Ovis aries: one gene and its partner. The protein of the gene in region 1 interacts with the protein of each later gene in a pairwise test. Links are inferred from orthologs where the notes say so. Each region holds a gene or a part of one and is shown on either strand. Other genes may lie near its edges.

The links. The genes of interacting proteins can lie anywhere in the genome.
Region 2: the proteins of CBX5 (region 1) and PRR14 interact in binary tests that used the Homo sapiens proteins (3 or more experiments, as listed by UniProt). The two-hybrid records come from large-scale screens. The link is inferred for Ovis aries from reciprocal best matches to the Homo sapiens genes CBX5 and PRR14.

Annotation. Positions count from the first base shown.
Region 1 is NC_056056.1:132,289,499-132,292,998, reverse strand, and holds part of CBX5 (chromobox protein homolog 5), read right to left. Parts: intron 2,241-3,500; coding exon 2,054-2,240; intron 1-2,053. UniProt on the Homo sapiens protein: Component of heterochromatin that recognizes and binds histone H3 tails methylated at 'Lys-9' (H3K9me), leading to epigenetic repression. In contrast, it is excluded from chromatin when 'Tyr-41' of histone H3 is phosphorylated (H3Y41ph).
Region 2 is NC_056077.1:27,281,351-27,285,590, forward strand, and holds the start of PRR14 (proline-rich protein 14), read left to right. Parts: upstream 1-1,440; 5' UTR 1,441-4,240. UniProt on the Homo sapiens protein: Functions in tethering peripheral heterochromatin to the nuclear lamina during interphase, possibly through the interaction with heterochromatin protein CBX5/HP1 alpha. Might play a role in reattaching heterochromatin to the nuclear lamina at mitotic exit.

The sequences.
Region 1 (3,500 bases):
GAAGAAAAATGTTCAAGCAGCTGAAAAGGAGCCGAGGCGAGGAAAATGCTAAAATCATCACACAGGCAGTAATCTTAAATCAGGCATAATGCCGACTAACAAATTTCCTCTGCAGTGGTCTAAAGAAAGAAACGAAATCCCCCCCTGCACCTTTAAAATATACAATCACCTATCTTACCAGCTGCCTACATGACAGCCATCAGCACTGCTGAGAATGCTGCCAGGGGCCCCAGATGAACATTACAATGTAAGGGACATGTGTGTGTGGGGGTGGTTTTCAAGGTCAGCAGCATCAAAAGGCCAGCATCCTGGCCTAGGAACCAAACTCTGCACTGGCCAGTGTCTCAAAGTCAGATTGCTCCTCCCCCCCCCCCACCCCCAGACTGCTCCTTTTTAAAAGGACATAAACGTTAGGTTGAGGAAATACACACTGAATGTCAAAAACGGCTACAGAAGTCATGCTGTGTTGTTTCTTGGTCTCTTTACTTAGCTGGAAAATGCATCAAATGACAAGAACCAGAATACAAAGGACTAATAAAAAAGTAAAACAGAAAGACAGACCCAAGTCTTAGCTCCTTAGAGAAGGGAAGGCATTTTCAAATTATCTACTAGTATGCTATATCATAATGATATACACACCTCACCAGAACAGGGGAGTTTTAAAAAATAAGATTGCAAAAAATAAAATTAATCAGGGAAACAAACAAAATACTAGCGTCCACTTTCACTGACAGCCTCCAATCTTTCATTCTTATTTCAATTCTTTTTGGAAAGTTGTTCTCCCATTTTCTCTCCTCTGGAGACCAGGAATCACCTGTGTAAGTCTCTAGAAAATACTAACGCATAGGTCCAACCCACAGAAATTTGAATTTTATTGGTCTGGAGTGCATCTTGGGCACCGGAGGCTTCTTTTTCCACAGCAATACTGGAGGCTTTTGAAACACCCGCCTGCCCCCCTTGCCATGAGTCTAATATGCAGCCAGGGCTGAGAACTAATGCTCTAGCAAGACGGGTATCCAAGGAGAATGAAGATAAATATGGATGCTTATGGCAGGGATGCTAGAAGATTCAGAAGCAGACTTACACTTTTATTTTATTAAACTTTAAGGGTATGATATATCCTTCACCACAAAAGACTTCACAACCTTGAAATTAATGAAAGGAATGGAAGCTGTGGGGGGTGATGGAGACACATGTGCACACATGGAAAAGATATAGACAAGAAAAAAAAAAGACAGGAACAGTGCTTATGGCTAGTTACTTAACAGCTATATATCAGAAGGATTAAAATAACTGAATCAAACCAAAGTTTCATAAACACATTTTCAAAAACTGAACAATAAAAATATTCATAAGGAAGATGAAAAGTAATTTATTTGAAGAATGCAAAAATACAATAGGATCAAGAGAGACTACACATGCCACTGAGCTGTTCACTTTAAGATGGTTAACTGGGGACTTCCCTGACAGTCCAGTGGTGAAGACTACGCACTTCCCATGCAGGGGCATGGGTTTGAGTCTGGTCAGGGAATTAAGATCCTACATGTGTTGGTGTGGCCATAAATAAATAATTAAAAAAAAAAATAAAATGGTTAGTTGTATGTTATGTGTTTTCACCTGGTTAAAAAAGAAAGAATATAAAGGGTTAAAGTTAAGTGCTCTCTTTGGAATAAAAGAAAAAAGTGAAGTAGTAGATATTTTAAAGCTTCTTTCTATCCCTAAAAAATTCACTGAAGACTCTCCATAAGACAACTCAGCCACCTATTCACAAAAAAGGCACTGAGTGGCTGAATGTTTTACAGGGATTTAATTTTGCCACCTTGACACAATTCAGTGGACACATAGTACATTTCTTACTCAGCCAGGAGGGGGCGCTGTAGTGGATCAACAAAACTCCCCGGGGAGCTCCTGTGTTCAACAATTTACCGTATAGGCCATCCCTAGAATAAAAACAACCAAAACAGTGCCCCTCTTTTTTGGGTGAAGCGAGGAGGAAGCACAGGAAGCAGAAGAGTGGGGGGTGGGGGGGAAGGAGAGGAGAAATGAAGCTTACCTCTCTCTTTTTTTTGGACTTAATATCATCAGCACTGTTTGAGAAATTGGATTTCCTCTTGTTACTTTCTGATTTCTCCCTGGGTTTGTTATTTTCACCCTCCTTCATCTTCTTATACTTTTTCATAAACTCAGAAATTAGCTCAGGGCAATCCAAGTTTTTCTCAGGTTCCCAAGTATTGTGCTCCCTGGGCAAGAATGGAGAAAAAAGGAAAGAAATGAAGAAGTTTTGGGGTAGGAGGAAATCCAATACCTTACTTTACAGAAGACAAATAGGCAAAAAGGGAATAGAATTCCTATGCTTAAAGGAGATAATCAATTTGATTCTAGAATCTATCCAATATATTGAGACACACACACACAAAAAAACTTGCACACAACTATAGCAGCATTTTAGGAGTCAAAGACAGAAAACAATTCAAATGCCTGCCAATAGGCGAACAGATAAACATAACATGGTATATCCATACAATGAAATACTATTCAGCAACAAAAAAGGGACGTAATACTAATATATGCTACAACACGGAAGCACTTCTAGACTGTGCTAAGCTAAAATAAACAGGTGCTGATCAGTCGTTCCTTGTGGCTGGGGCTTGCAATTAAATACAAAAATGTCCAAGGGAATTTGGGGAGGTTACGGAAATGTTCTGAAACTGGACTATGCTGAAGGCGGCACAGCTCTAAAAATTTACCACAAATCACTGAATTGTGTACTTTCAGTAAATGAATTTTATGGTATGTAAACTATGGCTCAATAAACCTGTTAAACACTCAAATATAAGTTCTGCTTTGTAAGTGGCAAATGTGATTTCATACATCATCTTTGCAAATCCTGGAGAGAGGACAATCTAATTCTAAATGCATTCCAGTTTACACTGTCTTAATTATGTTACTTATATTTCCAAGAAATGCCAGCAAATTGATGGAAGACTTCAGTAGTTAATTAGAAAAAAAGGCAGTAAGGGGTTAAATCATTAGAATATAAGCGAACCATAAAAAGGAAAAGACTCAAAACTGGGATTTGGAGCCCATTCATTCATTGCTCTGGATTCAGGTCTACTGTCACTAGGTAATCAAAATGCATTTCTATATTAATAAGCAAAAATAATTCAAGTTAAATAACTGTGTCTAATTAAACTCGGATCAAGGGGAGTCCTTCTATGAGGAAAATAAAGTTTGCATTCACAAACTTGTTCTCTGTATTTCTAGCATGGATTTTAGAAGTGCAAATCACTAATACCAAGAGCAGGTTATGTAATAAAAGCAAGAAATTTATCTTCTTTGGGAAAAACCAGACCAGGCATCCTCTTCACTCCTAGCCAGTGGCAGAGGTTCTTTCATTAAGAACTAGCTACATTAAGATATATCTGTACACATATCACAGACACAGTTTCTATAATCCCTTCACTGACTTAGGAAATATTTTTTACATTTATGCACTATTT
Region 2 (4,240 bases), on another chromosome or scaffold:
TACCATGATTGGATGGGAGTTAGCCCAGGGGTGCAAGGTTGGCATGACATCTGAAAATTAATTCATGTAATACATCATGTGTCAATAAAGACAAAACCACAAAATCATCTTAACAGATGTGCAAAAAGAATTTGACAAAATCTTTTACATTTCCTTTACATGCAGTGTCCAGAAAAGGCACATCTTCAGAGACCGAAAGCAGATTAGGGTTGCCAGGAGCTGAGGGAGGAGAGAATGAGGAGTGATAGCTGAGGAGTTTCTTTCTGGGGTTATGAAAATGTGCTTAGTTGATTGTGGTGATGGTTTCATAACTCTAAATATACTAAAAAAAAACACCCCACACCATTGAATTGTACAGTTTAAACGGGTGAATTATATGGTGTGTGAATAATATCTCAATAAAGCCGTTAAAAAACAAAACTATGTCTTGCCTGGAGAATCCCAGGGACGGGGGAGCCTGGTGGGCTGCCCTCTCTGGGGTAGCACAGAGTTGGACGCGACTGAAGCGACTTAGCAGTAGCAGCAGCAGTCATAGACATAGCAAGATGATCGTGGTAAATAATTATAAAAGGCTTCGTAGACACTCTAGGACAGCCCCTCCCCAAGCTTCAGCTCACTACGCCCCCTGTTCCTCGGGCATTTTGCCCGGTTTGAGTAATCCGCTTCTGGGGCTCCCGTCTAAGAACTCGCTTAATTAGGTACTCTGTGAATAGACGAATAAAGGGAGACCACGAAAGGCCCTCACAGAGTGCCCCCAGGTGGCCATAGGTCTCTACATCACTTTCGGTAAAGAGCCTTCTGCGCCTCAGATTTCACTTCTCCAAGACTAACTCTGCCGCGGCGGTAAAGCTAAACAGCTCACAGCCTCCTTGGCGGGATCCAGGCTCTGGGCTTCAACTGCGGAACGGTGCTGGTGCGGCGGGCTTGAATTCTTCCAGTCCCCAAGTCCTGGATGCCCCAATCCAAGGGCCACTCTCTTTTCCGAGCCAAGGAGCACTGCCCTGCTAGACCCGGCGTCTGAGTCGGCCCGGATCTGGCTACAAGTTGGGGCCAAGCTGCGGCCAAAACAGAGGAATCATAGCGTCGTGGGTCACTCTAGGACTCAACAGTGAACAAAGGCATCGGAAAATGCCCTAAGAGAATATGGCGGCGACTGCCTTCACAACCATCATTCAAATACAGTCGGAAGCTAGTCATTCGTTTCCTTCAGATGATCTTATCAAATAAGAGCCAGCTCCAAATATTTAGCTCCAGCTCTTAATACTCCTAACCCATTGGTGCTTGCGGAGATTAGCTTGAGGACGTGTCTTCTGACAATGCCCAGTGATTGGACTGTTTACATCACTGAAATAACGAAGTCCACGCTGATTGGCCTCCTGGGCCAGACTCCAGGACGCTGTTGCTAGGTAACGCCTGACAGAGGGCCAGGTTCTCAGGTCTGCAGCAGGAGTCCCCAGGAGGTTACTAATGCAGGGAGCCCAAACTGATCAGCGCCCTCTGGGAGATTCTACGTCGACTCTTTCTGTTCTGCTGACCCCCAAGGCCTCAGAGAGTGCGTCCTGACAGCAAAATGAACTGGGTTCCTGTCCTGAGATATGCCGGTTTTATGGAACTGAGCACCTTTGTGGAATTTCTACATTGTTCCAGGTGCAAAACAGTCTTCTCATTGGAATCATCTAACTCTGAGCAACGCTCCATGTGAGGTCAGGGAGTGTGGTCCCTGTTAAAGACTCTTTGCAACCCCAAGGACTGTAGCCTGCCAGGCCCCTCTGTCCATGGGATTTTCCAGGCACGAGTACTGGAGTGGGTTGCCATTTCCTTCTCCAGGGGATCTTTCCAACCCAGGGGTCGAACCCAGGTCTCCCGCATTGCAGGTGGACGCTTTACCGTCTGAGCCACCACGGAAGCCCTATTTAAGAATAAGATTTTTTTAAAAAAAAGAACATTGAGACTGGGTGACTGGTACGCAGGTCTATCTGGCTCCAAGTCCAGTGCTCTTTCTGACCTAATCACTAGGGCTTTTCCTTCTGAGACATCTTGGCCCCGAGACTGTCCATTTCTTGACAGTCTTGTCATAAAGTCCCTGACAGACTAGCTGGACTTCAGTGACTTACAGAAGAGCCCCCTTCCCTTTTCTCCACCGCTCTGACAGCTGAGTGGGCAAAGTCAGAATTTAACCTGAGCATCTAATAACTATAGTGAAACAAGAAAAACAACCCACACCGTGTGCCAGCAGCTGTGCGGTTTGGTGGTTTAGTCGCCAAGTTGTGTCCGACTCTTGCGACCCCATGGACTTTCCGAATGGGGGCGCTCAAGCGCAGTCGAGTTAGAACCTCTTTACTGTAACATTTGTGTGTGCTATGTCGCTTCAGTTGTGTCTGACTCTTTGCGACCCCATGGACTATATAGCCCACCAGGCTCCTCTATCCATAGGATTCTCCAGGCAAGAATAATAGAGTGGGTTGCCATTTCCTTCTCCAGGGGATCTTCCCGACCCAGGGATTAAACCTACGCTTCAGGCGGCTCCTGCCTTGCAGGCAGATTCTCTACCGCTGAGGCACCGGGGAAGCCCAACACTGCTAAATTAAGGAACAGCAATAGAATCCAATGTATCTGGTTTTGAAGCCCATGTATCCTAACCATTCTGCTGTACAGCTACTCCTGGCACAGCAATTTCTCAAAAATATTGAAATAATGGGGAAAAAATTTGTTTGCTTTCCCCTTTTACTGGCTACTGGGCTACATTTTCATCACCTGTCCACCTAGGACAAATTCATGCCAACCAGGTTGTTGTCCTACTGTTCTGCTAAAGGAATTCTCTCCAGTCCTGCCAACCTCTTTGTTAAAACACTCTGCCGCTTTCCTCCAGTGGCTTCTGAATCCCTTTTTGTTTTGTTGGTTTTATTTTTCAGTTCATCTTTCTGTTTTCTTTGTTACATCCCTTATTTTTAATGTAAATTTCCCGAAGTTTCAGGCATCCAACTGCAGTTGAGAAATCCGCCTCTAGGCCTGCACATCTAACTGGCTGCTAAATATTTTCACATATTTGTTGAGTCGAAAGAGCTTGTTGTTTTTCCTAAACATTTTAGTTGATTATTCAACTATACTTCATTTACGTTGCTAGTATATCAGACCTAAAATCCTGTTATCCTAGTCCTTCCTTCTCATGGCTTTTCCCTGCCAGTTCCAGTCTATTCTGTATCCTATAGTTTAGGATAAATCTGTGGAAAAAAAACAGGCAAAGGTCCTCTCAAGATGCTTACATTCCACTGTGGGAGAATGGTCCATTTCTAATAAACATAGATAAGGGTGGGCCCAAGGGTATCAGTTGTCTTGCTCAGAACCAGATAGTCCTGCTCAGTGAAAAACTGTCCTTTGTTCCCCATCATTGTCAGAATGCTCCATGGACATTCATGTAGGTAAAAATAGGTTTGTGATTGTCTGAGTACAGAACCTGAATCTACTTTATGTAGAAGCACAAACTTACAAGTACAGTTTTAATCCCGACATTTCCAGGAAAGCCTGTGTATACGGAGGGAAGATTTTATTTTGTTTAGTTTGGAATTTTGCTGAGAATTGTTTGCCATTTTGGAAAATCACAGCATAAATGGCTACACTTGAATCTGAATCAGCAATAGAACCCATCTGTGACAGCCTGAGTTTGTAGCTGCTCAGTTTAGTTCAGTTCAGTTGCTCGGTCGTGTCCAACTCTTTGCGACCCCATGGACCTCAGCATGCCAGGCCTCCCTGTCCATCACCTACTCCCAGAGTTTACCCAAACTCATGTCCATTGAGTCAGTGATGCCATGCAACCATCTCATCCTCTGTCGTTCCCTTCTCCTGCCTTCAATCTTTCCCAGCATCAGGGTCTTTTCCAATGAGTCAGTTCTTTGCATCAGATGGCCAAAGTATTAGAGTTTCAGCTTCAACATCAGTCCTTCCAATGAACACTTAGGATCGATCTCCTTTAGGATGGACTAGTGAGGTCTCGTTGCAGTTCAAGGAACTTTCAAGAGTCTTCTCCAACACCACAGTTCAAAGGCATCAATTCTTTGGCACTCAGCTTTCTTTATAGTCCAGCTCTCAAATCCATACATGATTACTGGAGAAACCACAGCTTTGACTAGAGGGACCTTTGTTGGCAAAGTAATGTCTCTGCTTTTTAATATGCTGTCTAGGTTGGTCATAAACTTCCTTCCAAGGAGTAAGCATCTTTTCATTTCATGACTGCAGTCACTGT